Linked DNA regions of Stegostoma tigrinum. The protein of the gene in region 2 binds, or shares a complex with, the protein of the main gene of each other region. Links are inferred from orthologs where the notes say so. Each region holds a gene or a part of one and is shown on either strand. Other genes may lie near its edges. The genes, in order: LYR motif-containing protein 4; acyl carrier protein, mitochondrial-like.

What was found.
Region 1: the proteins of acyl carrier protein, mitochondrial-like (region 2) and LYR motif-containing protein 4 are in contact, whole or in part, in a crystal structure (PDB 6ODD), measured with the Homo sapiens proteins. The link is inferred for Stegostoma tigrinum from reciprocal best matches to the Homo sapiens genes NDUFAB1 and LYRM4. Residues at the interface, in NP_004994.1 of Homo sapiens: Lys92, Asp111, Ser112, Leu113, Asp114, Val116, Glu117, Met120, Glu123, Asp124, Glu129, Ile130, Asp132; in NP_065141.3 of Homo sapiens: Arg6, Leu10, Ser11, Tyr13, Arg14, Leu17, Arg18, Lys21, Arg37, Phe40, Arg41, Lys44.

The regions. Positions count from the first base shown.
Region 1 is NC_081355.1:11,431,171-11,446,629, reverse strand, and holds the start of LYR motif-containing protein 4, read right to left. Parts: upstream 7,343-15,459; 5' UTR 7,153-7,342; coding exon 7,067-7,152; intron 1-7,066.
Region 2 is NC_081376.1:22,364,615-22,379,839, forward strand, and holds acyl carrier protein, mitochondrial-like, read right to left. Parts: upstream 9,095-15,225; 5' UTR 9,080-9,094; coding exon 8,852-9,079; intron 3,601-8,851; coding exon 3,478-3,600; intron 2,197-3,477; coding exon 2,109-2,196; intron 1,056-2,108; coding exon 964-1,055; 3' UTR 937-963; intron 249-936; 3' UTR 86-248; downstream 1-85. UniProt on the Homo sapiens protein: Carrier of the growing fatty acid chain in fatty acid biosynthesis.

The DNA.
Region 1 (15,459 bases), on a different chromosome or scaffold from region 2:
ATGGATAGGAACGGTTTAGAAGGGTATGGGCCAGGTGTAGGGAAATAGGGTTAACTTGTATGGACATTTTGGTTGGAGTGGACCAGTTTGGGCCAAAAGGCTTGTGAATATCAAAAATGTACAAAGTAGGCCAAGATGGCCATTCTGCCCCTCAATCCTGTTCCACCATTCAATAAAATCATAGTGGTTCTGTTTGTTTGAAATTCCACATTCAAGTCTATACCTGATAACCTCAGATTCCCTTGTCCAACAAAAATCTATCCACCTTGGTCCCAAAAATATTTCCTAATCCTGCTTCTGAAGCTGAGAATTCCAATGTCGTACAGCCCTGTGAGAGTGAAACAAAAGACCCTCATCACTATCCTAGAAAGATGACCCCAAATTTTGCCATAGTGTCCCCTAGCTCTAGACTTACCAATTAGAGGAAACATCCATTCCACATCCACCTTATACATCACTCAAGCTACCTCTTGCTCTTCTAAAGTCCAGTGGAAACAAGCTCAGCCTGTTCATGCTTTTCTCATAAGACAACTGGCTCCATCCAGGTATCAATCTAATGAATTTCCTCTGAACTGTATACAACCAATTTAGACCTTCTTTAAATATTGCAATCAGCATTCAAGATGCAGTCTCATGAATGCCTTGTATAACTATATATAACAAGCTTACTTTTAAGTTCAATTCCTCTCCTAATATGCATCCCATTAACTTTCCTATGTAATTGCCATACCTACGTACCAACCTTTTGGGATTCATGCACTAGAATGACCAAATTCTTCTACATTTCACTTAAGTAATACAGTAGTTTTTTGTTCTTCTGCTGAAGTGAAGAACTTCATACTTTTCCCATATTTTATTCCATTTGCGAGATTTTTGCAGCCTAATTTAACCTATGTAAATCGTTTTGCAAGTCTATCTGGACTTGAAAACTGTCAGCCCATTGGTTTGTTTTGTCCTGCTTTCTTAGTGATTTTAATTTCTCTAAGTTCCTTGTTTCTTTCCACCTCCTGACTTACAGCAATTATGGGAACGTTTTAGGTATTCTCTATCTTGAAAATAAAAGCAAAATATTGGTTAATTTCATTTGCCATCTCCTTATCATTTGGTATAAACTTTCCGTTCTCACCCTCTGGACGGCGAACTTATTTTTCTTACTCTTTTCCTTTTTAAGTAACTGTAGAAATTTTAGGTATCCATTTTTACATTTTGTAGTTTGCTTCCTCTCATTCTTTGTTCACATTATTCTGTGCCTTTCTTCACATTCAGGCAAAATCATCTGATTTTTATTAGATTACCTTCTGAGAAGGGATTGGACATGCTGGTCCATTTTCATTGCAATTTTGAAGACTGAGGGGTGATTTGATTGAAGCTTAAGATCTTGAATAGTCCTGACAAGGTGGATGTAGAAAATACATCTTCACTTGTGGATCCCTTGCAAATCCAGTTATATTGCAGATCCACCTATCGAGTGGTGCCCTTACTCGAGATCTTGGCTTAATCCTGTCACATTACATAATAAAAAGGCAAACAGTTCAAGCTTTCTAGCTGACATGTCAGATAACCCTGTATATTGAGGATCCAATTGCTGTTGTCCTGCAGCTATGTCTCTGTAATGGTGATCAGATCATATTTTAGTTCAATACTTGTAATGAATTCACTATGTATACAGCCTTTAGTTTTATATTTTCGTAAATTTTTATCTTGATTGTTATCATATTCCATTTTTTTCCCCTCGTTTTCCATTCCTGCCATCATTGCACCCTCGTTTCTCATAAACTATTTTACTCTCTAACCTTCTATCTAGTCTTTAATATACGACATCTTTCCAATTTTGATCCCTTACTCCAAATGGGAAAGCAGAGTAAATGAAGGTGAAATGTCACTAAGTACATGAATGAAACTAATTCTACAATAGTGTTGAAGTTGCTTTGTGTTCTGGAAATCAGTCTATTCATATTGCAGGGAGCAGGTGCACAGCAATTGCTTTAAAGTTTGGCTAATGGGCTTTTTCCACATTTATCGTGAGAAGTACTTTGAGGGTTTTGAACCAAAGTGGAGTTATGCGAGAGGATAACACTTCAGTCAAAGGATTATGTATTCAAGTCCACAACTTAAGCACATAAGTTTAGTAGTGAGAGAATGGTGTACTGTTGGAGAGACCATATTTTGGATTTGGTTTTAAACTGACACCAGTGTTGCCTTTTCAAGATGGATAGAAAAGATCCCACAGCACAAGTCACAGCAAACTACCATTTAATTATCCACTGAGATGGGAAAGGACACAAGAGAAGAGAAAACAATAGTACTAACAAGTCATTAATGAACATAACCTTGTTCCTAGAATCTAACATATTGATGCAATTACAGCAAATCAGCAAACACCAAAGGCGTTATAGATTATAACTGCTTTTCAGCATCAGGGGTCAACTTCCACAATTAAGCAAGTTTAAAAACAGCCTTATTTATAAATGCTGTACTCCAAGATCAACCTGAAGTCAAGGGAATTAGTGTCCTTCTTGCACCTTGAGATGGTACAGCACTGCAGTGTTGCAGAACAATGATTACACATGAGCAGTACAATAGATTTCCTGGGAGATAAAAACTAACTTAATAAAAAGCCTTAAAATATACTGCAGTAGGATTGCACTGGGAAGAAGATTCAACCATCCAGATCACATTGTGACTGTAATACAAAGAACTTTCATAACTTACTTTGTGATAATGTATGTACAACACTTAATCATAACCAAATGAATCATTAAAGTGTAAGAACTGGAGGAAGCATTATTTCACTGAGCTGGATAACAGGCATTGAGGCCAAGTATGTTCAGCCTTTGATAAGGTTGATTGCAGAGTCAAGCAGGACAATATTCTTGTTTTGCATACTTACATGTTAGATTTTCTTGATTTTTGCAGACAGACACTAAATACCTTTGTTCTTCCACAGCCCCTTATCCCTCACTGATGTGGAAGTGCTGGTGTTGGACTGGGACTGACAAGGTCAAAAATCACAAGACAGCAGGTATAGGCAAATGAATGATCAAATGAAAAAGTAGAGCACAGGAACAGGCCCTTTGGCCTTTCAAGCTGGTGCTGACCATCATGCTGTAATTAATCTTAAAAAAAACCTGCCATTTTTCGATCTGTATCCCTCTATTCCTTCCCTATTCATGTACCCGTCTAAGTGCCTCTTAAATGTTTTCAATGTGCCCACTTCCGTCACCTCTTCTGGCAGTGCATTCCAGCTGCTATCATTCTCTGTGTGAAAAACGTCCCTCGCACATCTCCATTAAACTTAGGATTTAGGGTTAGTGAATCGGTGTTCCCTTTTTGGGCATTGAATTGAGTTCGCTCAAATAGGGTGTGCCTTGTGTAATAATGGCTCTTTCAGAGGTTAAATTTTCCTGGTGTGGAAGAAGTCACTTGGGGTAGTTTACAGAAGGTGTGCAACTTTTGGAATTGGCAGGCAAGTTGGAGTTGAAATTGCGTTCCCCATGAGGAAAGGGGAGGTAATTGCAGCAATAGCTCGATACTTACAATTGCCAGAAATGCAATCGGAAATTGTAAATGGCTAAAAATCAATCACAACTGATGCAGCCTGAATATGAAGATCGAAAACAGATGAAAAACAAATGAGAAGAAAGGGAGACTTTTTGAACTTCAGAAGTTGGAACTGAAAACTGAAAGCTAACTTAAAATGGTGGAGGCAGAGGTGAAAGGTAGTAGTGACGAGGACGAAGATGCAGAGCGTTGTAGTCAAAGCCTGGTAGGAATCTGTTTAAATATGTCTAAGCATTGTCCTTTTTGTTGAGCGTAGGCATAGAAGCCTTTTTCATTTCATCAGATCAGCCACGGTATTGCTGATTAACAGAAGCCTCAAGGGACCAAATAGACTGCTCCTGTGTCTAATTTGCAGGTACTGTACCAGTTCTGGTAGCCAAGACAAGGAGGGGAAGCAGTGTGAGGAGACCCCATGACAAGCAACAATATATCATTGACTCCATCTTGAGCTCATCCAAAGCTCCGAAACACTTACATGTCACTGAACTTGGTAAAATTCTTGGCTTCTTATCCAATATCATCACAATATTTTAAAATCTCAATGTATTCAAACGCCTTCAACGCACGTCTTATCTTAGTAATCTTCTCCAGTGCTACAACTAGGGTCTCTGCACTCTGATAATGCTCATGTATCTCAATTTTCATTACACCAGCATTAATGGCCAAGTCTTCAGCTAGCCTAGCTTTCAGCTTTCGAAATGCTTTTCTTGGGACATTGTTCTCTGCTCAGAACAGAAAAACAGGCCATTCTTCGCTGCTCCGACCATTAATAAGATTGTGGCTGATCCTCTACTTCAACTCTGTCTACCTGCACTATTCTTGTATCTCTCAAATCCCTTAATCCTCTAAAAACCTTTCAATATTTATTTTGAACCAGTGCTGTGCATATTCAGCCTCTAAAAGAAAGAATATTCCAAGAATTCAGAATCATTTGAGTAAAGAAATTTGTCATCTCCCTCCTAAATTTGTGACACCTTTTTTGAGGCTATGCTTCTTAGGTAAAGGCACATTGCTGTTAACTGACTTGTCTTGTTTTATTAGATGTTTGATATTACTTGGCTGCAAATAAACTAATGGGTCTTGATCATCAAGAACAAGATGCACTGCAGCAAGTTCCCAAGTTCCCTTGTCAGCACCTTCCAAAACTGACAATCTTTACCACCTAGGAGGACAAGGCTAGCATACTGAAGGACAGAATTAATCTCAATTTGGACCAACAAAGATTAATTAAGGATAGTCAACATGTGTCTGTCAAGGCGAGATTGTATTTGACAAGTCTGATTTGAGTTATTTGAAGTGGTTAATAAGTGTGGAGATGACAGTGGGCAGCTTGTGCACTTTAAATGTACTTCAGTAAATTTTTTGACAAGATGTCATACAGGATATGTCATACCAGTATCCTGGTCAAGAAGGTAAAAGCCCATACACTCCTGTACCACAGGGTTCAATATTGTTTATAGTGCTCATTAATGATCTAGGCATGAATGTAGGAGGTTTGATCAGTAAGTTTACAGATGACAGGAAAATTGGTGGTGTGGTAAATGAGCAGGAAAGCCTTAGACCACAGGATGATACAGTCAGGTTGGTCAGAAGGGAAGAACAGTGGCAAATGGAATTGAATCCAGAAAAGTGAGGTGATGCACTTTGGGAGCACAAACAAGGCAAGGGAGTACACAATGTACTTAGAAGTACAGAGGATCACACAGATTTTTGTTCATGTCACATATCCTTGAAGACAACAGTACAGGTAGATGAAATGGTTAGGAAATCATGGGATACTTGTCTTTATGTGTCAAGATGCTGAATACAAGAGCAGAAAAGTTTTGACGGAGCTGCAAAAGATGTTAGTTAAACCACAACTGGATTGTTGTGTGCAGTACTGGTCACAACACTGTCGGAAGGATGTGAATGCTCTAGAGAGGATTCACCAGGATATCGGCTGGGCTGGAGCGTCTCAACTATGATGAGAAACTAGATAGACTGGGGTTGTTTCCCTTAAAGGACAAAAGACAGGTAGGGGCTTAACTGATAAATACAAAATTATGAGGTATAGAAAGTTCGAAAGGAAGAAAATTCTCCTAGTAGAGGGTTCAGTAATTGAGCAGTTTAGATTTAAAAGACAGGAGGTTTAGAAGGAATTCAAGGAAGAACATTTTCACCAAATTAGTGATGGGTATCCAGAGCTCTGCCTGAATGAGTGGTAAAGGTGCGAACGATCACAACATTTAAGTAGTATTTCAATAAACACTTGCAAGGCGTAACATACAAGGCTATGGGCCAAGTGCTTAAAAAACAAGATGTGCCCAGGCTGCTGTGTTCATCCACCTCTACACCTTGTTATCTCAGACTGCAGAGTCGGCAGCTCCTACTATCTCTGAATGAGCAGATAAATGCTTGATGACCAGTGAGTGTGTGAAGGGCTGGAGGAAATATGTGTGTTGTAAAAGGACTGACTTTAATAATACATCTAAAAGTCCGGAGATTGTATCCTAAATAAAAACAGAAAGAACTGCAGATACTGTAAATCAGGGACAAAAACTGAAGTTGCTGGAAAAGCTCAGCAGGCCTGGCAGCATTTGTGAAGAAAATAAAAATCAGAGTTAACGTTTTTCATCAGGTGACCCCTTCCTCAGCTCTTGTTGTTGCAACTCTATCTTATTCAGCACAAAATCTTAATCAAGCTTTAGTCTGGCATTGGTGACCTACATTCCCATAACAATTAATTGATTGTAAAGCATTTTGATTTTTTTCCAACGATCATGAAAGACAATGTATAAACATATGACTTTCTTGACACTTCCACCTTCAACTTCTCAATCTTGGTTTGAAATCCCTTCATGGTCTCACCCAGTGTTTCTGAATTTTATCCAGGACCCAAAGCCAGAAACACACCTATCCCTGGTCAGGTCTGACATTTTGTGGATCTCCCACTGATCCCTTTTTTTCAAACCTTTCTTTAAAGCCGATCTCTCAGATTTCTGATGAAGGGTCTAGGCCCGAAACGTCAGCTTTCCTAAATAATAAAGTGTGAAGCTGGATGAACACAGCAGGCCAAGGAGCATCTCAGGAGCACAAAAGCTGACGTTTCGAGCCTAGACCCTTCATCAGAGAGCCTAGGTCTAGGCCCGAAACGTCAGCTTTTGTGCTCCTGAGATGCTGCTTGGCCTGCTGTGTTCATCCAGTTTCACACTTTGTTATCTTGGATTCCCCAGCACCTGCAGTTCCTATTATATCAAACTTAAATTCTGTTCGCCGCTTCTAATCTCGCTTTTGCCTGAGATTTTTTTTTCCCGTGTGTGTGTGTGTGTGCGCGCGCGCGCGCGAGCTTTTGATTGCGTTTTTGCCCGTTTTTCTCGCATTAAGAACGGCTACATAAATAAAATGTCAGTGGTTGAAATTAAATTGCGGCTTAAGTGGGATGGAGGAGTGTGACATGGGATTGATAAGCAAAGTACGTAGCAAATATCAACATTCCCTGGCGGAAAACAAAATTACTTCTTTTTACCTATAATTGTAACTGGTGAACTTCTTGCTTTCTTTCAGCATCAACCTGTATAAAGACAGGACCTGACTGCTTGTGGGCACCGCCATCTTCGTTCTTCGGTCTTTACCACGCAGGACCCCGGTGGCTGGGCGCGCGTGCCTGAAATGGAACGTTGTGCAGGCAACGGCTGTCCTGTGGAACCTTCGACCGTTCAGGATTCAAAACAAAACTGAATACGTCCGTTCTGCTTTTGCCTTGCAAAATCCTAAAAGTAGGATCCACTGTTCGCATTCTCTAACACCTTTTATTTTCATAAAACTGTTCTCTCCTCTCGACTGGCAAGACAGTGTCCTACTATTGTCAATTTGTGTTGTTGAGGTGGTGGGAGGGGAAAAAAGAGGTCAAGGAAGGGACGGTGTCACTGTTGTATCTTTGCAAAGAAGGTGAGTTGGTTCGTGAGAAGTTGTGCATGTTAAGAGCACAGGGATATAGAATATGCCCGTGGTGGTTCCTTTTTTTTTAAACAAGGTCATCGTTCCAAAAAGGAGTTCTCTTTTATAATCCTGAGACTAAAATAGAAGGGACGTGTCGGGGAACCACGTCCGGTGTCTCGAGGAATGCAATTCATTGCACAGTTACTTGCTGTTGGGCAGGGTTAATAATCGTTATCAGGTTTTGTTCTTCATGCACGCAACTTTTGAGCGCTCCTCCGATCTCTCATTTTTGGCTGTGACGCAGCCTGTACAAAAAGGACGCGAAACAATGCAGAAACGCCGTTGGTGCTGGAGATCTGAAACTAAAATAAAGTGGATGGCAATGAGCAACGTTTTCACACCGGGAGGCTCATTAGGGTCTGGAATACCTTTTATCTGAAAGAGTGGTAGAGACAGATTCCTCCACGAATTGGGATTTGCAGGATTATGGGGGTAGAGGAGGGTGTGTACGACAAAAGCGGGTAGAAAGATATGTAGAAATGATGTAGCTGGTATGTACTTAACAAAAGGTGACAATTCTGCTTTCATCACAGCACAAATACATTCACTCAACCAGAAATCTCAAGACTAAGGCTACGTCAGATTTTAGACTTTGTTGGATTTCTGGTCAGGTTCTTTGGACTGTGGGTGTTCAAGCCAATTGGATAATATGGAGTACACAAAGTGTGGAGCTGGATGAAGACAGCAGGCCAAGCAGCATCAGAGGATCAGGAAAGCTGACCCTTCTCGACCCGAAATGTCAGCTTTCCTGCTGTGTTCATCCAGCTCTACACCTTTTGTTATCTCGGATTCTCCAGCGTCAGCAATTCCTACTATCTCTGCATAATATGGAGTCAATGTTGTTTGAAATGTGGGAGATGTGTGATATAAACAGACCAGTTTCTCTGGTGTAAATTCTGTGTTACCTTGTTCTTAGTCACATGTATCTTGTACACAAATCAAAGCACTTATTCAAAATATTGCCATTTGTGCTTGAAAAGAGTTTTCCCTTAGAGCTTTCTTATGAGGTTTTGCTTGTCAATAGCTATTTGATCTATAAGTTAGTTAATATAAAATATATGCTGCCTTTTTAATCTCACACAGCATTGGTCACATCTACACAGTTACCACGGCTCTATTGAGATTTTTTTAATGGAGCAGGAATTCTGGTAGTATTGATAATAAGTGACTGCCACCAAGTGAGTTGAGAGGGAATTTGTTTTGGAGTAATAAAATTAGCAATACACTTAGTCTCTATACATTTTTGTACAGATCACTCCATGTCCCAATAGCCTACTGATCTTATCATAGGAGAAATCCATTTAAATCCTTCTGTTGTTTCCAAAGTATGATGAGAAACATAGAGGAACAGGAGGAGGTCATTTGTACCCTTCGAGCCTGTTCTGCTAATCATCACGTTCATGGCTGATTGTCCAACTCAAGAGCCTAATCCTGCTTTCACTCCAACTGCTATATCTGGCTGCCTTTTGAGTACATTCAACTACTTCCTGTGGTAATGAATTCCACAGGCTCATCACTTTTGGGTGAACAAGTATCTCCTCATCTCCATTCTCTGTCTATCCCAAATCCCTAGACTGTGACCCCTGTGCTGGACACGTCCATCAGGAACAGGCTCCCTGCATCTACCCTGTCCAGTCCCATTAAGATTTTAAAAGTCTCTATGACATCTCCTCTTCTCCCCTCTTTCCCCCCCCCCCCCAACTCGCTCATCTGAATTCCAGCGAAAATAATCCTAATCTAGTCAATCTCTCCACTTGTCAGTCCCACCATCCCTGGAATCAGCCTGGTAACCTTCACTGTAGTCCCTTGAGAGCAAGAGTGACTTCCTCAGAAAAGGAGACCAAAATTGCACACAATGTTCTAAGTGTGGTCCTGCCAAGGCCCTGTATAACTGCAACAACACTTCCCTGCTCCTACACTCAACCTCTCGCTATGAAAGCAAACATACCATTTGCCTGCTTTACTGCCTGTTGCACCTACATGCTTACCTGACTGGTGCACAAGAACATTCAGGTCCTATTGCACACTCCCCTCTCCCAATTTACAGCCATTCTGTAGATCTAAACAGTGTAATAAATTATTCATGTGCTGTTTTCACTCAAGTTGTAAATCTGGGACATTCTCATTTCCCAACTTTGATCAATTCATTGACAAAGACAGTTAGATTTAAATAATTACAAGTAGACATTCTCAAAATTGGCAGTCTACAAACCAGAATTGTCCAGAAACTGGGTATTTTTGAATGTGCATGGCATTTTTTTTTTGTTACTCAGTTGAAATTGACTTATCTGGATGATGCATAAATGTATTTGTTAGTTTGCTTGCTCACTAGTTTATTCTTATGTTCCAAGTGACCCAATCTGAATTGGCCTGAACATCCACTGTCCAAAGCAGCAGAAATCCAAATCCAAGATCCAGTACAACCTCAACGGAGTGTACTGTTGAAGGATCCAATAGATGCTTATTTCAACTGGTTATCATGTATAATTATTGAATTACAAACACGTAAGAGTTACAGATAAGTGTTACACTAATGTTATAGCTGAGCATCATACTTGTAGTAGCAATTCATACTTCAAGTGATCTACTTAAGGTGGAGTATGCAGTGTTTATACAATTAGGTCATATTCTATGATACAATGATGATATCACAAGCTCATCTTTTAAAAGTATACTGATGTACTGTGTCTCAAAATATATTCTGATTTTTCAGACTGAGAATAAGTAAGGAAATTATTATTAAGGAAATTATGGATTTCAGCAAGGCGTTCGATAAGGTTCCCCACAATAGGCTATTGTACAAAATGCGGAGGAATGGAATTGTGGGAGATATAGCAGTTTGGATTGGAAATTGGCTTGCCGAAAGAAGACTGAGGCTGGTAGTTGATGGGAAATGTTCATCCTGGAGACCAGTTACTAGTGGTGTACCGCAAGGGTCGGTGTTGGGTCCACTGCTGTTTGTCATTTTTATAAATACCTGGATGAGGGCGTAGAAGGATGGGTTAGTAAATTTGCAGACGACACTAAGGTCGGTGGAGTTGTGGATAGTGACAAAGGATGCTGTAGGTTGCAGAGAGACATAGATAAGCTGCAGAGCTGGGCTGAGAGGTGGCAAATGGAGTTTAATGCAGACAAGTGTGAGGTGATGCACTTTGGTAGGAGTAACCGGAAGGCAAAGTACAGGGCTAATGGTAAGATTCTTAGTAGTGTAGATGAGCAGAGAGATCTCGGTGTCTATGTACACAGATCCTTGAAAGTTGCCACCCAGGTTGACAGGGCTGTTAAGAAGGCATACAGTGTTTTAGCTTTTATTAATAGAGGGATCGAGTTCCGGAACCAAGAGGTTATGGTGAAGCTGTACAAAACTCTGGTGCGGCCACACTTGGAGTATTGTGTACAGTTCTGGTCACCGCATTATAAGAAGGATGTGGAAGCTTTGGAAAGGGTGCAGAGGAGATTTACTAGGATGTTGCCTGGTATGGAGGGAAAGTCTTACGAGGAAAGGCTGAGGGACTTGAGGCTGTTTTCATTAGAGAGAAGAAGGTTGAGAGGTGACTTAATTGAGACACATAAGATAATCAGTGGGTTAGATAGGGTGGATAGGGAAAGCCTTTTTCCTAGGATGGTGATGGCGAGCACGAGGGGGCATAGCTTTAAATTGAGGGGTGAAAGATATAGGACAGATGTCAGAGGTAGTTTCTTTACTCAGAAAGTAGTAAGGGAATGGAACGCTTTGCCTGCAACAGTAGTAGATTCGCCCACTTTAGGTACATTTAAGTCGTCATTGGATAAGCATATGGACGTACGTGCAATAGTGCAGGTTAGATGGGCTTTAGATCGGTATGACAGGTCGGCACAACATCGAGGGCCGAAGGGCCTGTACTGTGCTGTTATGTTCTATGTTCTATCTGTGGTATGTGCGAAATGATGAGTGACAAAAATGTTTGCTTGTGGTCTCTGGTTCTTCTGCTAATCATCTTACGTTTGTGTCCTTTATTTATTTTTTTGCAAACCATTCTGGACTGTGAACACTTCATCTAATTAACTTCTATTCTTTTTCTGCTCCTTGGTAAATAACATCTCTGCATGACTGAAGTCGCTAAACCCTGGGATGATTCTAGTAAATCATGTTTGTATCATTTCCAAAGCCCTGACGTTCTTCCTAAAGTGTGAACTCCAGAATCGAACAAGATATTATAGCTGATGTTTAACCAGTATGTTAAAGGGTTAGAATACCTCTCTGATGAAGAATGCCTCTCTGATGACGGGTCTAGGCCCGAAACGTCAGCTTTTGTGCTCCTGAGATGCTGCTTGGCCTGCTGTGTTCATCCAGCCTCACATTTTATTATCTTGGAATCTCCAGCATCTGCAGTTCCCATTATCTCTTAGAATACCTTGTTTGTTTTTGTGTACACTCCTCTGTTTTTAAAAAAAAACCAAGGATTCAACTAGTCCTGCATTTTTAAAGAATAAGCACACACATCACCAGGCATCTCTGTTCTTGTTTCACTTCCGCGCCCACCACCCCCCCCCCAAAAAAAACTGTTCAATTTAATTTATCTTTAGTGTACATTCATCTCCAGGTCTCTTTATTCCTGTCTCCTCCTCAAAATTGTAATACTTAGATCATGCTGCATCTACTTATTCTTCTTACTAAAATGTGTCAGTATGGGCTTGCACAGTTTAGGAGAGTGGGATGTCATAGATCCCTACATTGTAGAAACAGGCCACTTGGCCCAACAAGTTCACACCACCCCTCCGAAGAGCATTCCACTCAGACCCACTCCTGTATCACTGCATTTTCCCCATGTCAAAATCACCTTATCTAAATATTTGTGGGCACTATGGGCAATTTAACATGGCCAATCCACCTAACCTGCACATCTTTGGACTGTGGGAGGAAACCAGAGTGCCTGGAGGAAACCCACGCAGACATGGGGAGAATGTGCAAATTCCACGCAGACAGTCGTGTGAGGCTGGAATTGAACCCAGGTCCCTGGCACTGTGATGCAGCAGTGCTAACCACTGAGCCAGCGTGCCAACTTTTGTGCAATTGTTTTTAAAGCAGAAGATTTTTAAGCAGAAGATTTGCATTCGGTATCACTTTTGCTTTAAATTCTCAGATCTTTTGGGCTCATTGAGCTGATTTTGGGTGAATTGTGCCAAAATGCCTGGTGCTCACATATTTCTCATTTGAAATCCATTCATGATATTGCAACACACTTCCTGCAATAACCCAAAGCCTGTGTGGTTTACTTGGTATGTCTCCACACCCCTATGCCTTTCATGGTTGGTGATAGATGTTCAGATAACTCTGAATCCCCTTTGATTCCCTGTGCCTAATTACCTCTTGCCCATTTTCACAGACTGTCACTTAGTACCATTTTTTTCTAATGTGCAATCAGTTGACACTCTTACTTCTATTGTTCTTCCTACTCTAACCTATGGATACTACTACTGGTTTCAAAAATGTGGAAATTATTACATGAAAGGTCTTAGGAAAATTTCTACCGTTGAAGAATGAATGGATGAGGAAGAATGTTAGATTGCCCAAAATTCTTAGTTATTAATTTCATTCTCCTAAAACAAATGTACTCCTTGCAAATAAAGATAACAAAGTGTGAAGCTGGATGAACACAGCAGGCCAAGCAGCATCTCAGGAGCACAAAAGCTGACGTTTCGGGCCTAGACCCTTCATCAGAGAGGGGGATGGGGAGAGGGTTCTGGAATAAATAGGGAGAGGGGGGAGGCGGACCGAAGATGGAGAGAAAAGATGATAGGTAGAGAGAAGAGTATAGGTAGGGAGGGGATAGGTCAGTCCAGGGAAGACGGACAGGTCAAGGAGGTGGGATGAGGTTGTAGGTAGGAAATGGAGGTGTGGCTTGAGGTGGGAGGAAGGGATGGGTGAGAGGAAGAACAGGTTAGGGAAGCGGAGACAGGCTGTGCTGGTTTTGGGATGCGGTGGGGGGGAGGGGAAGAACTGGGCTGGTTTTGGGATGCAGTGGGGGAAGGGGAGATTTTGAAGCTTATGAAGTCCACATTGATACCATTGGGCTGCAGGGTTCCCAAGCGGAATATGAGTTGCTGTTCCTGCAACCTTCGAGTGGCATCATTGTGGCACTGCAGGAGGCCTATGATGGACATGTCGTCTGGGGAATGCGAGGGGGAGTTAAAATGGTTTGCAACTGGGTGGTGCAGTTGTTTATTGCGAACCGAGCGGAGGTGTTCTGCAAAGCGGTGCCCTAGCCTCCGCTTGGTTTCCCCAATGTAGAGAAAGCCGCACTGGGTACAATGCATACAGTATACCACATTGGGCAGATGTGCAGGTGAACGTCTGCTTAATATGGTAAGTCATCTTGGGGCCTGGGATGGGGGTGAGGGAAGAGGTGTGGGGACAAGTGTAGCACTTCCTGTGGTTGCAGGGGAAGATGCCGGGTGTGGTGGGGTTGGAGGGGAGTGTGGAGCAGACAAGGGAGTGACGGAGAGAGTGGCCTCTCTGGAAGGCAGACAAGGGTGGGGATGGAAAAATGTCTTTGGTGGTGGGGTCGGATTGTAGATGGCGGAAGTGTCGGAGGATGATGCGTTGTATCTGGAGGTTGGTGGGGTGTTATGTGAGAACGAGGGGGATCCTCTTGGGGCGGTTGTGGTGGGGGTGGAGTGTGAGGGATATGTTGCGGGAGACTCCGTCAAGGGCGTTCTCGACCACTGCGAGGGGAAAGCTGCGGTCCTTGAAGAACGTGGACATCTGGGATGTGTGGGAGTGGAATGCCTCATCGTGGGAGCAGAGGCGGAGGAATTGGGAATAGGGGATGGAATTTTTGCAGGAGGGTGTGTGGGAGGAGGTGTATTCTAGGTAGCTGTGGGAGTCGGTGGGCTTGAAATGGACATCAGTTACAAGCTGGTTGCCTGAGATGGAGACTGAGAGGTCCAGGAAGGTGAGGGATGCGTTGGCGATGGCCCAGGTGAACTTGAGGTTGGGGTGGAAGGTGTTGGTGAAGTGGATGAACTGTTCGAGCTCCTCTGGGGAGCAAGAGGTGGCACCGATACAGTCATCAATGTAATGGAGGAAGAGGTGGGGTTTGGGGCCTGTGTAGGTGCGGAAGAGGGACTGTTCCACGTAACCTACAAAGCAGCAGGCATAGCTTGGGCCCATGCGGATACCCCTTTGTCTGTAGGAAGTGGGAGGAATCGAAAGAGAAATTGTTGAGGGTGAAGATGAGCTCAGCTGGGCAGATGAGGGTGTCAGTGGAGCGGTATTGGTCGGGCCTGCGAGACAGGAAGAAGCGGAGGGCCTTGAGGCCATCTGCATGAGGAATACAGGTGTATAGGGACTGGACGTCCATGGTGAAAATGAGGTGTTGGGAGCCAGGGAATTGGAAGTTCTGGAGGAGGTGAAGTACTCCTTGCAAATGTTGTGATTTTTGGAGCTGATAGTTATCAGCATGTTTGTTGTCTTTCACTGCATACCTTGGGCTGTTTCTTCTTAAAATTAAGAGTGAAGCATAGAATAAGCCTGATTATATAGTGTAATTGTGAATATTGTAGGATCAATATGACTTGGCATGATGGTATAGATTAAAACTAAGCTGAAAACTGGGGGATATTGTGTCTATTGAAGGTAATTTGTAGCTGGTCTTTTACCGCTGTGTTCAAGGTAATGCATATTTCAGTAATTAATAATCATTTTAAATGCACATTACCCCAAGCATAGAAATTGCTGTACAGCATAACCTTGAGGTAACTAATTGAAGACTTTAAAAAACATTCTTGTTACATTTTCTTTGTCTATAATCAGTGAAACTGTTTTCCAAATCATGGAACTTTATTTACTTTGTCTTGTTACTTCAGCATGTATTAATAGAGAGAGTTCAACTTCTGGTTTCACACTGCATTGGAAGCATGTTAATTGCTTTCAGCACG
Region 2 (15,225 bases):
TACTGATGCTCATAAGTCTAGAATTTGTGGAGAGGTACAGTATCAGAGTTGGTGGGTGAATGAACAGCATACACACACACACATATCCAGGTTCAAGAGTAATTTATTAATTCCTGAAGTCAGTGTTCTAGAACTTGAAATATCATTGGTTGAACAAATATAATCAGACAACAAAAACCATAAACCAGCACTTATGCATCAAAAAATGTTTTTGATCCCTCACAGAGTATGCTCCCAGCAGCAAGTACCTGCAAAGCCAAAGACAGATTTTAGAATTTATGTTTTTCGAATGTTTCCAAAACATTTCTCAATGACTGATCAGCTGTGATGTCAGTACTTATTAGGGTAAAGTTGCCTTTCTTCAGTGCTAGGTTCAAACTATAGGTTGTGCTGAATTAGTTAATCTCTACAGTTCTTTAGACTGCAAAGATTTGGGGACTTTGGTTTGGAGAGGGCAATGGGGTCTAGTCAAGTCTCTTGGAACGTACTGATCTCCTTGCTGGGGGAGATAAAGAAAACCTTTTATTTCAGCATCGACTAACTGAATTAAGTGTGTTGCTGATCTACTTACGCCATCCCAACACCAGTTCATACCACAAATAAAGGCCCAACTGGAGTGGTAATATGCTGAACGATTCAGAGATCAAGCTCCTTCCTCATGGTTGGGATGTCTATGTTCCAACCTCTATCCTGAGGATTGGTTGAAGCCAGGACAGTTTCAGGGTATCATTTCCTCCAACAGTCAAACATTAATGCAAGCAACATTCTTCAGACACCAGACTCAACAAAGTTTTAGTGCATGAGTTTTGTCTGTGGGAGAACAGTCCCAATCGATTCTGCTTTTATCTGACAGAGACTGTGTCATTGTGATATGGCTTAAGTTAAAAAATGCACACTTCTCTTCCCCTTTTAAGAACTTATCTGACAAATTCTTACCCATTTTTTGTCTCCAGGGAAAAAAAGTTATTCATACACATCCTTCTTATCTGCAATATAAGTTATAATCTCATCAGGTGTCATCAACTTTTCTGCATCTACATCCGGAATCTCAAATCCTACAAAAAGACAAAAATAAAGCTCAATGACTCCTAGAGACAAACAACATGGCCAACGTACAGATTTAACACACTTCACGTTCCCACATTGGACAAAACTGCAATTCTTTCAAAGCCCTTCAACAACCTTCCCTTAACGTATAATTTATCACCAGCCTGAATCACCTCTGATTGAGGTAACATTTTAACAGAGATCCCACAACCTTCCTGTGGTGAGGTACCTGTCAAGCACTGCTACCCAGTGTTCTTCTAAATACTAGTGGTTGCAAGTTTTAGAGGTAGTTTCAAATAAGCCACGGAGGGTTACAACAATGCAGCTTGTAGATGAAATACACTGCAAGCACATGTACTATTAATGGAGGGAGTGGGTGGATGTTCGAGAATGCAATTGTGGCCATTCAGGAAAGTACAGATTACCTCCTTACACTTATGATTTCTCTTCCTTGCAAAAAAGTGGCTTTGGAGGGATGTGTCACAGAAAATATTGCATCTACTTATTTAGCAGGTCCAGAGAGTTTTTGATTAAAAGCATCTGCCACTCCACCTCCTCCAGAAATGTAACTGGTGGTAGAATCATTGATAATGTTGTTCTTATTAAAGGAGAAGTGGTTCAGGGTTCTCTTGCTAGAGATAGTCAATAGACTGGCTGGCACTTACCTGGCACAAATGTTACTTAGTACTCGCAGGTCAAGCCTGAATGTTAACCAGATCTTATTGCATGTAGGCTAGAACTATTTCATCAAACAAGGATTTGCAAATTAAGCTAAATATGATGCAATCTTTGAAACAGGTAATATATAGGACCAGACAGTCTGCAAAGCCTGTAGGGTTGAATAGGCTGAGTGTGTCTGGGTTCACAAAGGATGATTAGCTACTTGACAGCAACAGAGAGGATAGCTATGACTGTGGAATATACAGCAGGCTACAACTCAAGTAACTTCAGGCAAAGGAGTCAAAAGATTCAGTTTAATTGACAAAAACCCTGAGGTGTTTGGATTAAAACACCAAGATATACTGAACACATTACAACCTACCACACACACAGACACTTACCAAACTCATCTTCCATGGCCATAATGATTTCTACTTGATCCAAACTGTCCAAACCCAAATCTTTCATAAAATGAGAGCTTAGTAGAAGCTTTGAGAAGAAAGGAAATATTGTAAATATAGGGGGTTTCAGAAATACAAGAGAAAATCCACAGGCAATCGAGACATTCAGCACAACCAACAACAGATTTAATCCTTTGAAAACAAAGAACAGACAACCTTGTACTTTCAGTATCCAAGAAAAACTGGGGTTTCCTGCCTCATAATGAGGCTCTGAAAAGCTTTATTTAAAAATGGAAAGAGGACAGGGAGTATGCATGTTACAACTGCCTCTTTGCTACATGGTGGATGGGTGCTGATTGAAGTCATTCTCACCAGCTGATTGACCACACAGCACACACACCAACAGATGTCTTAAGCCTCTAAAATACTTCTGTAATTTTTAAAGTTTGTTACTCGTTCTAAGGACCAGAAACTCAATAGATCAGCCACATATACTGTAGCTTCTAAGGAGCTGGCAGGAGGCTCATAATTCAGCAGCAACTAACTCAGCTCATGACTGCCCCACTACCCCTCCAAAGTACGCCCCATTAGTCAGGTCTTTAATGGAATATTTCCCACTTGCCTGGATGAACGTCAAGGGGACAGGGCTAGATTCTCTCCAGTTTAACATGATCATTGCCTGCTCTTTGATCGAGAACATTACCTACCAGCTCTCAGCCCAAGCCTGAACGTTATCCAGGTATTTCGGCATTCTTGGTCTTCAAGAAAACTTAAGGGTTCGTTGGAATATTTTGTAAACTAGCTGAGATTGGCTAAAAGGATTGTCAAAAAGACAAGAAGATATGAGATATGCCAGGAAGGTTTTGCATATCTCTATCTGTAAAAGCCATTGTGTTTTAGTATTTATAAAACTATGGGTTAGAGCAGCAAGAAAAGCTAAGCTGAAATTACTTCTGGTTACCCTGGAGACAAGTAACAAACTATAAGGATATTTATATATTGTTCCTCTTTGCCCTGAGACAAGATGATTGACATCTACAGCCAACTTTCAGACATACCATGTTAGCAAAACTGTGTACTATGAAGCATCTAAAGGTGGGTGCATGGAGGCTGCTTACACTGGCCTGTTGTTCAGGGCTACATGTTAATTTTTCATGCTCCTGCTAGTAGTGGCTTCTGTTCCAGTCCCTGCAAACTCAGTCATCACCTCACTCAGTTTATATTTTAAGCTCTTTACTGCTTATTTTCTTTTTTAAGAATTAAATAAAGAAATGTTGGCAACTCCCTTTCAAAGACATTACATTTTCTCAGAGTGATATCATTTGTATTATGAAAATTCAATAAAAGGTCAGTGACATTGTTTCCTTACCTTGTCAGGATTAATTTTATCATAGAGTTTTAACACATACAGCACTCGTTCCTGGATGCTGTCAAGTGAGAGGGGGGGCAGATCCCCATAATGACGCAACGATTGTAGAAACAGACTACAACTCTGCAAAGGGAGATGCAAGAAACAGGTTAATTTAAAATGCCAGTTGCAGAGCCTGTAGACTGTGTTTGCAAATAAAAAGTCCATTGTTTTGACATACAATAGCGTTACGCCTCGTTGGGGCAGCTCATTGGAACTCAAGCTGTTAAAGTTGTCATAAAAGTTGAAGATTTTATAAAATTACATAAAATTCCCCAAATTAGTTGACAGTATGCACAGACCAGGTTTCTGTATTTAGGAATTACTTTTTTTTTACAATTAGATGCCAACTATAGACAAACAATTATGAATCAACTTTATCACTCAGACCTTTGATTATGGGAGTCAGGATGTCATGTTAAGGTTGTACAGGACATTGATGAGGCCTCTTCTGGAGTAATGTGTCCAGGTCTGGTCACCGTTCTATAGGAAGGATATTATCAAGCTGGAGTGTGTTCAGAAAACATTTACCAGGATGTTGCCGAGAATAAAAGGTTTGAGTGATAGGGAGGGGCTGGGGCATTTTTTCCACTGGAGTGTAGGAGGTTGATGGGCGACCTTACAAAGATTTATAAAATACTGAAGGGTATAGGTAAGGAGAAAATGAGGTATTGTTATTTCATCTTGCACTGAGCTTTGCTGGAACATGGGCAAGCCTGAGACAGAGATGTTGCAAGGAAACAAGGTGGTGTGCTGAATTGTTGCAGAGATAGTAGGAATTGTCGATGCTGGAGAATCTGAGATAACACAGTGTAGAGCTGGATGAACACAGCAGGCCAAGCAGCATCAGAGGAGCAGGAAAGCTGACATTTCGGGTCAAGACCTTTCTTCAGGAATGGGGGAGGGGACGGGATTCTGAAATAAATGGTGGGGGGTGGGGGAGATGGACGATGGATAAAGGAGAAGATAGGTAGAGAGGAGATAGACAGGTCAAAGAGGCAGGGTTGGAGCCAGTGAAGATGAACGTAGGTGGGGAGTTAGGGAGGGGATAGGTCGGTCCAGGGAGGACGGACAGTTTAAGGAGATGGGATGAGGTTGGTGGGTAGGAGATTGGGGGGGGGGGTTTGGGGTGGGAGGAATGGTTAGAGAGGCAGGGACTAGCTGGGCTGGTTTTGGGATGCAGTCGGGGAAGGGGAGATTTTGAAGCTTGTGAAGTCCATATTGATACCCTTGGGCTGCAGGGTTCCCAAGTGAAAGACGAGATGCTGTTCCTGCAGCTTTCGGGTGGCGTCACTGTGGCAGTGCAGGAGGCCCAGGATGGACATGTTGTCCAAGGAGTGGGAGGGGTAGTTGAAATGGTTCACGACTGGCAGGTGCAGTTGTTTGTTTCGAACTGAGTGCTGGTGTTCCGCAAAGTGGTCCCCAAGCCTCTGCTTGGTTTCCCCGATGTAGAGAAGGACACAACCGGAACAGGGTAGGGGGTGAAGTGGATGAACGGTTTGAGATGCTCGTGGGAGCAGGAGGCGGCGCTGATACAGTCATCAATGTACCAGAGGAAGAGGTGGGGCATTGGGCCAGTGTAGCTTTGGAAGAGGGATTGTTCTATATATCCTACAAAGGCTTAGCCGAACTCGTCCTCACCCTCAACAACTTCTCTTTCAATTCCTCCCACTTCCTACAGACAAAGGGAGTGGCCATGAGTACCCACGCGGCCCAAGCTATGCCTGCCTCTTTGTAGGATACATGGAACAATCCCTCTTCCACACCTACACTGGTCCTATCCCCCATCTCTTCCTCCATTACACTGATGACTGTAATCGGCGCCGCCTCATACTCCCATGAGGAGCTCAAACAGTTCACCCACTTCACTAACACCTTCCATCCCAACCTTAAGTTCACCTGGACCGTCTCTGATACCTCTCTCTCCTTCCTGGATCTCTCTGTCTCCATCTCTGGCATCCACCTGGAAACCGATATCCATTTCAAACCTACCGACTCTGACAACTACCTAGAATACAGCTTCTCTCACGAACCTTCATGAAAAGAGGCCAATAGACCATAAGACATGGGAGTGGAAGTAAGGCCATTCGTCCCATCGAGTCCACTCCGCCATTTAATCATGACTGATGGGCATTTCAACTCCACTCACCCGCACTCTCCCCGTAACCCTTAATTCCTTGCGAGATCAAGAAGTTATCAATCTCTGCCTTGAAGACATTTAACGTCCCGGCCTCCACTGCACTCCGTGGCAATGAATTCTACAGGCCCACCACTCTCTGGCTGAAGAAATGTCTCCTCATCTCCGTTCTAAATTGACCCCCTCTAAATCAAAGGCTGTGTCCACAGATCCCCTATTCCCAATTACTTTTGCCTCCGCCGCATCTGCTCCCGAGATGAGGCATTCCACTCCTGGACATCCCAGATGCCCTCTTTTTTAAGGGCCGCAACTTCCCAACCACAGTGATCAAAAATGTCCTTGACTGTGTTTCCCCGCATTTTCCACAACTCATCCCTCACACCCCTATCTGCAATAATAACCATAACAGAACCCCCTCGTCCTCACGAACCATCCCACCAACCTCAGAATCCAAAGCATCATCCTCCATCTTTTCCACCATCTGCAATCTGACCCCACTACCAAAGACATTTTTCCCTCCCCACCCTTATCTGCTTTCAGGAGGGACCACTCTCTCTGTGACTCCCTTGTCTTCTCCACAGTCCCCTCCAGCCCCACCACCCCTCGCACTTTTCCCTGCAACCGAAGCATGTGCTACACCTGTCCCTACACCTCCCCAATCCCAGGCCCTGAGAAGACCTTCCACATCAAACAGATGTTCGCCTGCACATCTGCTAATGTGGTATACTGTATCTGCTGTTTCCTTTGTGGCCTCCTGTATCGGCACTGCCTCTTGCTCCCACGAGGAGCTCCAACAGTTCATCCACTTAACCAACACATTCCACCCCAAACTTAAGTTCACCTGCAACATCTGTAATACATCTCTCTCCTTTCTGGATCTGTCTCCATTTCTGAAACCACCCAGAAACTGATGTCTATTTCAAGCCCACTGACTCCCACAGCTACCTAGAATACACCTCTTCCCACCCACCTTCCTGCAAAAATGCCATTCCTTATTGCCAATTCCTTCGCCTCCGCCGCATCTGCTCCCAAGATGAGGCATCCCACTCCCGTACATCTCAGATGTCCTTGTCTTTCAAGGACCACCACAACTTCCCCCCCTCAGTGGTCGAGAACACCCTCGACCGTGTCTCCCGCAACTCATGCCGCACACCCCATCCCCTCAATAACAAATCAGAATCCCCTTCGTCCTCGTGTATCACCCCACCAACCTCTGGATCCAATGGATCATCCACCGACACTTCCGCCATCTGCATCCAACCCCACCACCAAAGACATTTTTCCCTCCCCACCCTTATCTGCTTTCAGGAGGGACCACTCGCTCCATGACTCCCTTGCCCACTCCACACTCCCCTTCAGCCCTACCACACCCGGCACTTTACCCCGCAACCGCAGGAACTGCTCCACCTGCCCCTACACCTCCTCCCTCATCCCCATCCAGGCCCCAAGAAGACTTTCCACATCAAGCAGATGTTCACCTGCACATCTGTTAATGTAGTATACTGCATCCGCTGTTCCCGTTATGGCATCCTCTACATCGGGGAAACCAAGTGGAGGCTTGTGGACTGCTTTGTAGAACACCTGCGCTCGGTTTGCACTAAACAACTGCACCTCCCAGTCATGAACCATTTCAACTCCCCCTCCCATTCTTCAGAGAACACGCCCATCCTGGGCCTACTGCAGTGTCACAATGGTGCTACTTGAAGGCTGCAGGAACAGCAATTCATATTCAGCTTGGCAACCCTGCTGCCCAATGGTCTCAATGTGGACTGCACAAGCTTCAAAATCTCCCCTCCCCCACCGCATCCCTTAACCAGTGCAGCTCGTCCCCACCTCCCTAACCTGTCCTTCCTCCCACCTCAAGCCCTATCCCCATCTCCTACCTACTAACCTCATCCCACCTCCTTGACCTGTCCGTCCTCCCTGGACTGACCTACCTCCTCCCTACCTCCCCACATACACTCACCTTTACTGGCTCCATCCCTGCCTCTTTGACCTGTCTGAGTGCTCTCGTCTATCTTCTCCTCTATCCACCTCCCCCTCCCTATTTATTTCAGAACTCCCTTCTCTTCCCCCATTTCTGAAGAAAGGTCTAGGTCCGAAACATCAGCCTTCCTGCTCCTCTGATGCTGCTTGGCCTACTGTGTTCATCCAGCTCTACACCTTGTTATCTCTCTTCTTACTAGCCAACATCAGTTCTGAGGAAGGGTTACTGCACCTAAAATGTTAACTGGTCTCTCTCCACAGATGCTGCCAGAACTGTTAAGCTTTACAGCAATTTCTGTTTTATTGTTTCTGACTTCCAACGTCCACATTTATTTCAGTTTCCAATCTATTTAATACCTCCCTAGTTAATTAGGCCAGGATACCAGGAGAACTGCCTGAATAGTGCCACAGAACTTTTGTTTTGACATCCACTTAGACAGGACCTCAGTTTATCACCTGAAAGTTGACATTTTTTGCCAATGCAGCACTCTCTGCACTACACTGGTTCAGAAATGATCTCTCAATCAACATTACTAACAATCAAATTATCCCATCATTTAACATTGTTGTGAAAAACTTATGCATAACTTAGCTGCCACTTTTCCACATTGCAAACTTCACTTCAAAAAAGATTTGGGGTATTAGGGCAGCAAAGTTAATTTCAGGTTGAAGATGAAAATGATCTTCAGAGGACTGTGAAACTTCAAATCAAGTATTTTCCAGACACAGATAAATGAATTTTTTGAAATTAAGGAATTCACAGATCTGGGGATCAACATGCAAAGTGTAGTCAATATAGACGATTAGTCGTGGTTTTAACAGAATAACCCAGCAGATTTAAGGGGTCGTATGGCCAACTCTGCTCCGACTTCTGTTCTTACAGAATATCCTGGTTATTAATAAATGTATTTATTTTAAATCTTGTTACCCAATTTGAAGATTTGACCCTGACAATTAGCAGTACAGAGAAGAACAAGTGCATTTCCCCCCCCGAGGCTCAAGCCAATTCTAAACTCCACTGGATTAGGGAGTGATAACATTTTATTCCACACTTTCCAGCTCGACTCAAGTTTTAATCGAATAATTAAGGATTTTTACTCCAACGTCTGACGCAGATGGCACTTGGAGTTATGCTACACCCGTTGCCTCAGCGTCCTTTCGGACTGAGAAGAGGAGCTCTGGGTCCGGCCTGATCACCAACCCCCAAATTACCTGAGCTCGGGGCGCCACATCTACAACCCGCCTGTTGCAGACGTACTGAGAGTAGTTGCTGCTGGATCCGGCGAGGGGCAGGGCCCCGACACTCGGGCTTGCCCTTGGCCGGCCCCAAGGTTGCGGCCACCGGCGGAGACATCCAGAGAGGACACGCAACGCCATCTTGGAAACGATTCTGTTTCCAGCGTGTAGCGCGGCGGCCGTGGCAAGGTCAACAACGCCCATGCGCGGCCCGGCCTGCCCCGCCCCCGAACTCCACACCTACCGCCGCTGGTGGCGCTGTCCGTGGAGAGTCTGCAGTCTGACGACTCGTAGCTGCTGTGGAACTTATCTACCTTTGTGGAGATAAGTGATACAACCAAGTTAAGTCAGTGTGGAGTTATGGGTCATAGTCCAGATTTCAGGGATTTGGATAAGAAACTTTGGATAAGGTTGATCAAAATAGATACTCCAGATTTTAATTTTCGTTCTGTCACTTAACTGACTGTTCGTATTGCTTGCAATATAGCGAGATCTGTAGGGTGGTACTCTGGCTTGTAATGAAAAGTCCTTCTTTAATAGTCAGGATAGGGGAGGTAGTGGTGTAGTCACTAGTCGAGTAACAAGGCTACTAATCTAAAAGCGCAGACCAATGTTCTGGAGGCAGGGGTTCAAGTTAATACCATCTTGAATTGAAGGCTAGCCTCAGTAATGTTGCTACGAAACTAAAATATTCTGGTTCGTGATTGTCCTTCAGAAGAGGAAATATGGCGTTCTTACCTAATCTGGCCTACACGTGACTCGAGAACCACTAATGCGGATTACTCTAAAGTACCCTCTGAATTGGCACAACATACGCTCACCTCAAGAGGAATTAAGGATGGACAACAAATACTGACTTTATGACATCTGCACCTGTGAGAAAATAAAGAAAAAATATGTTCTAACTTCAACATTCCTATTTGACCAAAAGTTTACAAGGTGCAATCCTGCCATGGGCCACGAGATGGCAGTGGATTGTAGCCCTCAGGGAAGTAGGCGCCATTGCTATCTTTACAAGGTGTTCAGTGCAGCATAAAGCATTTCCATCCAACATTTTATATGGGGTAAGTGCAGCAGGAAACTGCAGTGCACTACCATCTTTATAGGAGGTAATGTACAACAGAAAGCATGTACAGCTGTCATTTTATAGAGCATCCTGGGCTAGAAGCTGCATGAGAGGACCCTTCACCAACTAGCAATTGTCCAGGACTGTTCCATAATTTTCCTTTCTACCTGGCATCCCACGTCGAGCCTTCTGAGAATTATTTTGTCCTGAGTTACTTCTGTATTTGCATTAACGTGCCCCAGCCTCCAGTCCATTCCTAAATCACGTCCATAACCCCCCATGGTAAACAGCTTTTCACCCAGAATTGGTCACTGTCACCAACTCTTTGACCAATGGTAAGTTACCTTGACTGGAATCACCTAAGTGTAGGAAATGATAACTGTTTACTAATGAAGCTGTGAATTTTCTTATTTATACAACGTATCTTATCAATATAGTTTCAGAGCAGTGGTACCACAGCTTCTTAACATAGGGTCTCCATGCTTCTATACCAACACTCCCAACCCCAAAGAGAAGAAATCAGTAAGGAAATTGGTAGTGAATGTACTGGTCATACTGGAGCACTGTTCTGAGGTACACAAGACAAGTTGGACTGGTACACATCATTTGCAAGTTCTACTGGTTTGTCGGTGTGTCGCTGACCTAATTTCACAATCATGTCAGCGCAATAACCACCCTGTCCACCACCAAAAAATGTTCTTTATTTATTTCTTAAGAGTTGGTTACCTGCTTTGTACAACTGACCATAAACCACCCACAAAGTGGCAAGAAAGAATGCTATAATAAGATTTGATTACAAGGACTAATTTGATATGAAGACTTTTGAGAAATGACACGTAGTGAAAGTCATATGCTTGGGTAGATCAGAAAAATTTTAAATATGATTCTCAAAGACCTTGATCAATGAGTTTTCTTACGTTATGTACTAATTTACCGTGGACTAATTGAGAACATGATTGTTATGAATAGTAATTGATCATTGTTTTAAACATATAAAAGTAAGATTTTCTTCCCCAGGACAGCACAAGGCAAAGTAGATGGGCCTTGGCCTTTGTAAAATCTAGTAATTCCTAATACTGAGGAAAAGTTGGAGATGCACTCCTTTCATTGAATAGATATTGAGTAGATGTCTGGAGTTCAGCTTGCTGTTGTTACAACAACAGGGAGCACAGGAGTCTGCCTATGGAACAGCGAGCTTCTGTGAAGAGACTTAACCAGTTGTAGCAACAGCGCCTTATTACCCATGGCTCTTCAGTTCTCCCTGCAAGCATAACCAAGTGCCTGCGCCATCGTAACCAGGCACTGACTGCTGGTTCCTGCCTGGGTAAGGGAGGTATCTACCCCATCTGGGCCATTGACTGCACTCAGTTCACCCTGCGTAAGGCCTGGAGCTGTGCCAATGACCCCATGAAGCTTCAGGAACAGCACATCTTCAAAACCAGAACACGAAAAAGTTGAGAGAAGCAACCAATATTGGCCCAATTCCCAGACCCTTGTGTGGTGTAGCTTTCTCCTTGTAAATTAGATTACCTGTTTGCTGAAAACATGTTTAAGTTATTTTGGGCAGATGCATGAGTATGTGTTGCTGCCTTTTGATAATTTATTTTTGTTTTATTAACAGGACGTACTCGCACTTTTTAATATTCAGAGTCTGTATTGTTTCCTATGTTCTGAAAACAGTTTGTATAAAGCTCATGTAAGTCAGAATAACCAACGAGGGCCAAGTGTACAAAAAAACTAAATAAAAACAGTGCAACCCTTGTCTTGTGCTCTTGCAGTGTGACTTTTCTTTCCCCAGCTCCTGAACGAGGTGACATGCTCTGCACAATTTGACCTTCCTCTAACCTTAATCCAAGATAAACGGTAACAAAAATTAGACGTTTTTGTTTTAACATGACTTGGCCTCTGCAAAAAATTTGCAGGTGAGTCAGTCTAATTGGGTTTTGTTTCCAAATGGTCGGTACGGACATAGGGCGAATATGTAACTTGGGCAATTAAAATGTCACTAAAATGTTGTCCTTCTGCCAGCAGGGGGTGGTGTAGTACAGAACCGATGATGAAGTGTCAGACTAGTAAACAGATCTCACACAAAAACTGCAGAAAGGCAAATATTGAAAACATTGTATTTAAGAAACTTGTTATACGGACGGTTTGAAGTGCTGTGATTGCACACCACAATCCTGTGAATAACATATTTATATAAAAACATCACCTTTTGGCAGGCATTGACCTGTACACACAAACCTTTTAACTTGACGTATCAACTGTGCCTCATGTTTGCTGAGACAGAGTCATGGCTCCAAGTTCTAAAATTCCAATACAAAATCCAAGTGCACTGGTTTAGATGTAAACTGAGATCTTTGCCCTTTCAGCTGTAAAGCATCATTTCTAGAAAAACAAGGGGGCTGTTCTTTGTCTTCCTGGCCTGATATTTAACTATCAAACATCATATCCTTCATTAATCTCAACAGTGTGGTAGACTGCTGTTTTCTCCAGAACAGTGACTACACTAGTAGTACTTAACATCCTGAAGTGCTTTGCAGGTATTTCCGAGATTGTGAAAGACATTACCTTGATCAACTCTGTTCGAAGCATGCATGACCTGATTTGAATGGTCTAAGTATCACTTAATATACTTGGATCTCTGTGTTCATTGGGTAATGCTGAAGGGCATGCTATTATAACACAACAAATAATCCAGACAACATGATTGGAAAATAGCCATGGTAGTTTTTAGAATTTGAATTTAGCTTAAAAAGAAACTGAGTAAATGGTTGATATCAGTAAACATTTCTGAAACTTGTGTTACAATAAAATGTATATTAACTTCCAATAAATTACTTAAGAATCATAGAGTCATAGGGCACAGAAACAGACCCCTCAGTCCAACCAGTTCATGCTGAACATAATCCCAACTAAACTAGTCCCATTTGCTTGCTTCTGGCCGATATCCCTCCAAACCTTTGCCATTCATATATCCATCCAAATGTCTTTTAAACATTGTAATTGGACCTGCATCCACCACTTCCTCAGGAAGTTCATTCCAAATGCAAACGACCCTCTGTGTTTGAAATTTGCCTCTTGCCTTCTTTTGAAATCTCTTTCCTCTCATCTGCAAAAAGTGTGTGCCCTAGGCTTGAGGTTCCCCATCTTAGGGAAAGGACAATGACCATCAGCTCTATATCTGTCACTATTTTATAAACTTCAATTTGGTCACTTATCAAACTCCTACGCTCCAGTGAAAGATATTCCAGCCTCTACAGCCTTTCCTTATAACTCAAACCTTCCACACCCAGCAACATCCTGATAAATCTCTTCTGAACCCTCTCCAGCTTGATAATATCATTCCTATAACTGGGTGACTAAATGGGAGACAATATTCCAGAAGAGGCCTCAGCAATGTCTTGTACTAACCTCAAAATAACATCCCAACTCCTACACTCAAAGGCCAAGCGGCTTTGGGGAGGTGATAGTCTAGTTGTATTATTGTTTGACCATTAATCTAAAGACCCAGATAACGTTCTGGGGACCTGGATTCAAATCACATCATGGCAGATAGTAGAATTTGAATTTAATAAATGTCTGAAATTAAGAATCTAATGATTACCGTGAATCCATTGTCAATTGTCAGAAAAATCCATCTGGTTCACTAATGTCCCTTAGGGAAGGAAATTGCCATCCTTACCTGGCCTGGCCTACATGTTGACTCCAGACCCACAGCAATATGGTTGACTCTCATCTGCCTTCCGGGCAATTAGGAATGGACAATAATGCTGCCTATCCTGTAGCACACTCATCCCAAGAATGAGTTTTTTAAAAATCCTGACTATGTGTGATACGAACTTTAGAGAATTATGTACCTGCACCCCTACTTCCCCCCGTTCAACAATGCTACCCAAGAACCTACCATTAATTAAGGTCTAGCCTTGTTTGTTGCACCAAAAGCAGCACCTCACATTTATCTGGATTGAACTCCATCTGCCATTTTTCAGTCCAATGACCCATGTAATCAAGATCCTTTTGTAATCTTGGAAAACTTTCTTCACTGTTTACAATGTCACTAATTTTGATGTCATCCACAAACTTACCAACCATGCCTTCTACTTCCTCAGCCTAATCATTTATAAAAATGACAAACAAAAGAGAACCACAACCAATCCCTGTGGAACACTACTAGTCACAAACCTCCATTCGAAAAGCAATCCTCCATCATTATTCTCTGTCTCCTGCCGTTAAGCCAATTATGTATCCAATTGGCAAGGTCATCCTGAATCCCATGTGACCTAACTTCACTAATTAGTCTACCGTGTGGAAATTTGTCAAAGGCTTCACTAAATTCCAAAGAAACAATGTCTACTGCACTGCCATCATCAACCTTTTTGGTAACTTCCTCAAGAAAAATCAAATGTTTGAGAGACACGATTTTCCTCGCATAAAGCCATGCTGACTATCCCTAGTCAATTTTTGCCTCTCTAAATGTCATAAATCCTGTCTTTTATAATCACCTCCAACAATTTACCCATAACCGCAGTCAGACTCACAGGTCTGATCTGGTAGGATGTAATCCAAATACGAATATAAATCATACCCATGTGCCCTACCCATTTCACATATTGCAAAAACATTCTAATAACTCAGCGTTGGGCTCACTTGTTCAAGATTTCTGTATCCCTCTAATTGTGGGCTGTAATGCCTCTCAAATTTTAATCATTCCACTAGTAGCCAGAGTTTCTGTTGCTGAGGTACTAAGATCTAGAATTTCTCCTTACGAACCACACTTTTCTGCAGTAATACAATCCTTAAAGACATCTTCCTCACCAGCTTAAGTATTTAACATAGGTCAGTGTCAAATTTTGCAAAGTTGCTTGGTACCTTTGTCAGTAGCATTAAATCAATGTTCTTGTTATGATTCTAAACTTTAAAAAAAAGCCTTTTCTAATCTTAAGTATAGACTAAAATTCAAACAAGCTATGCTGTAAGCTTTGAATAGGTAGACAAGTGTAATTTGTAGCAAATCATCCCTTTGCCTAAGTCCTCATTTATATTTCATAGAATCAGAATCCTGGAGTGCGGAAACAGGCTATTCAACCCAACATGTCCATACCGCCCCTTTGAAGACCATCCCATCTAGACCTATTCCTCCATCCCTGCATTTCCCAGGTCTAATCCAGCTAACCTAAACACCCTGGGCACTATCGGCATTTTAGCATGGCCAATCCACTTAACCTGCACATCTTTGAACTGTGGGAAGAAACTGGATCACCCGGAGGAAACCCACACAGAC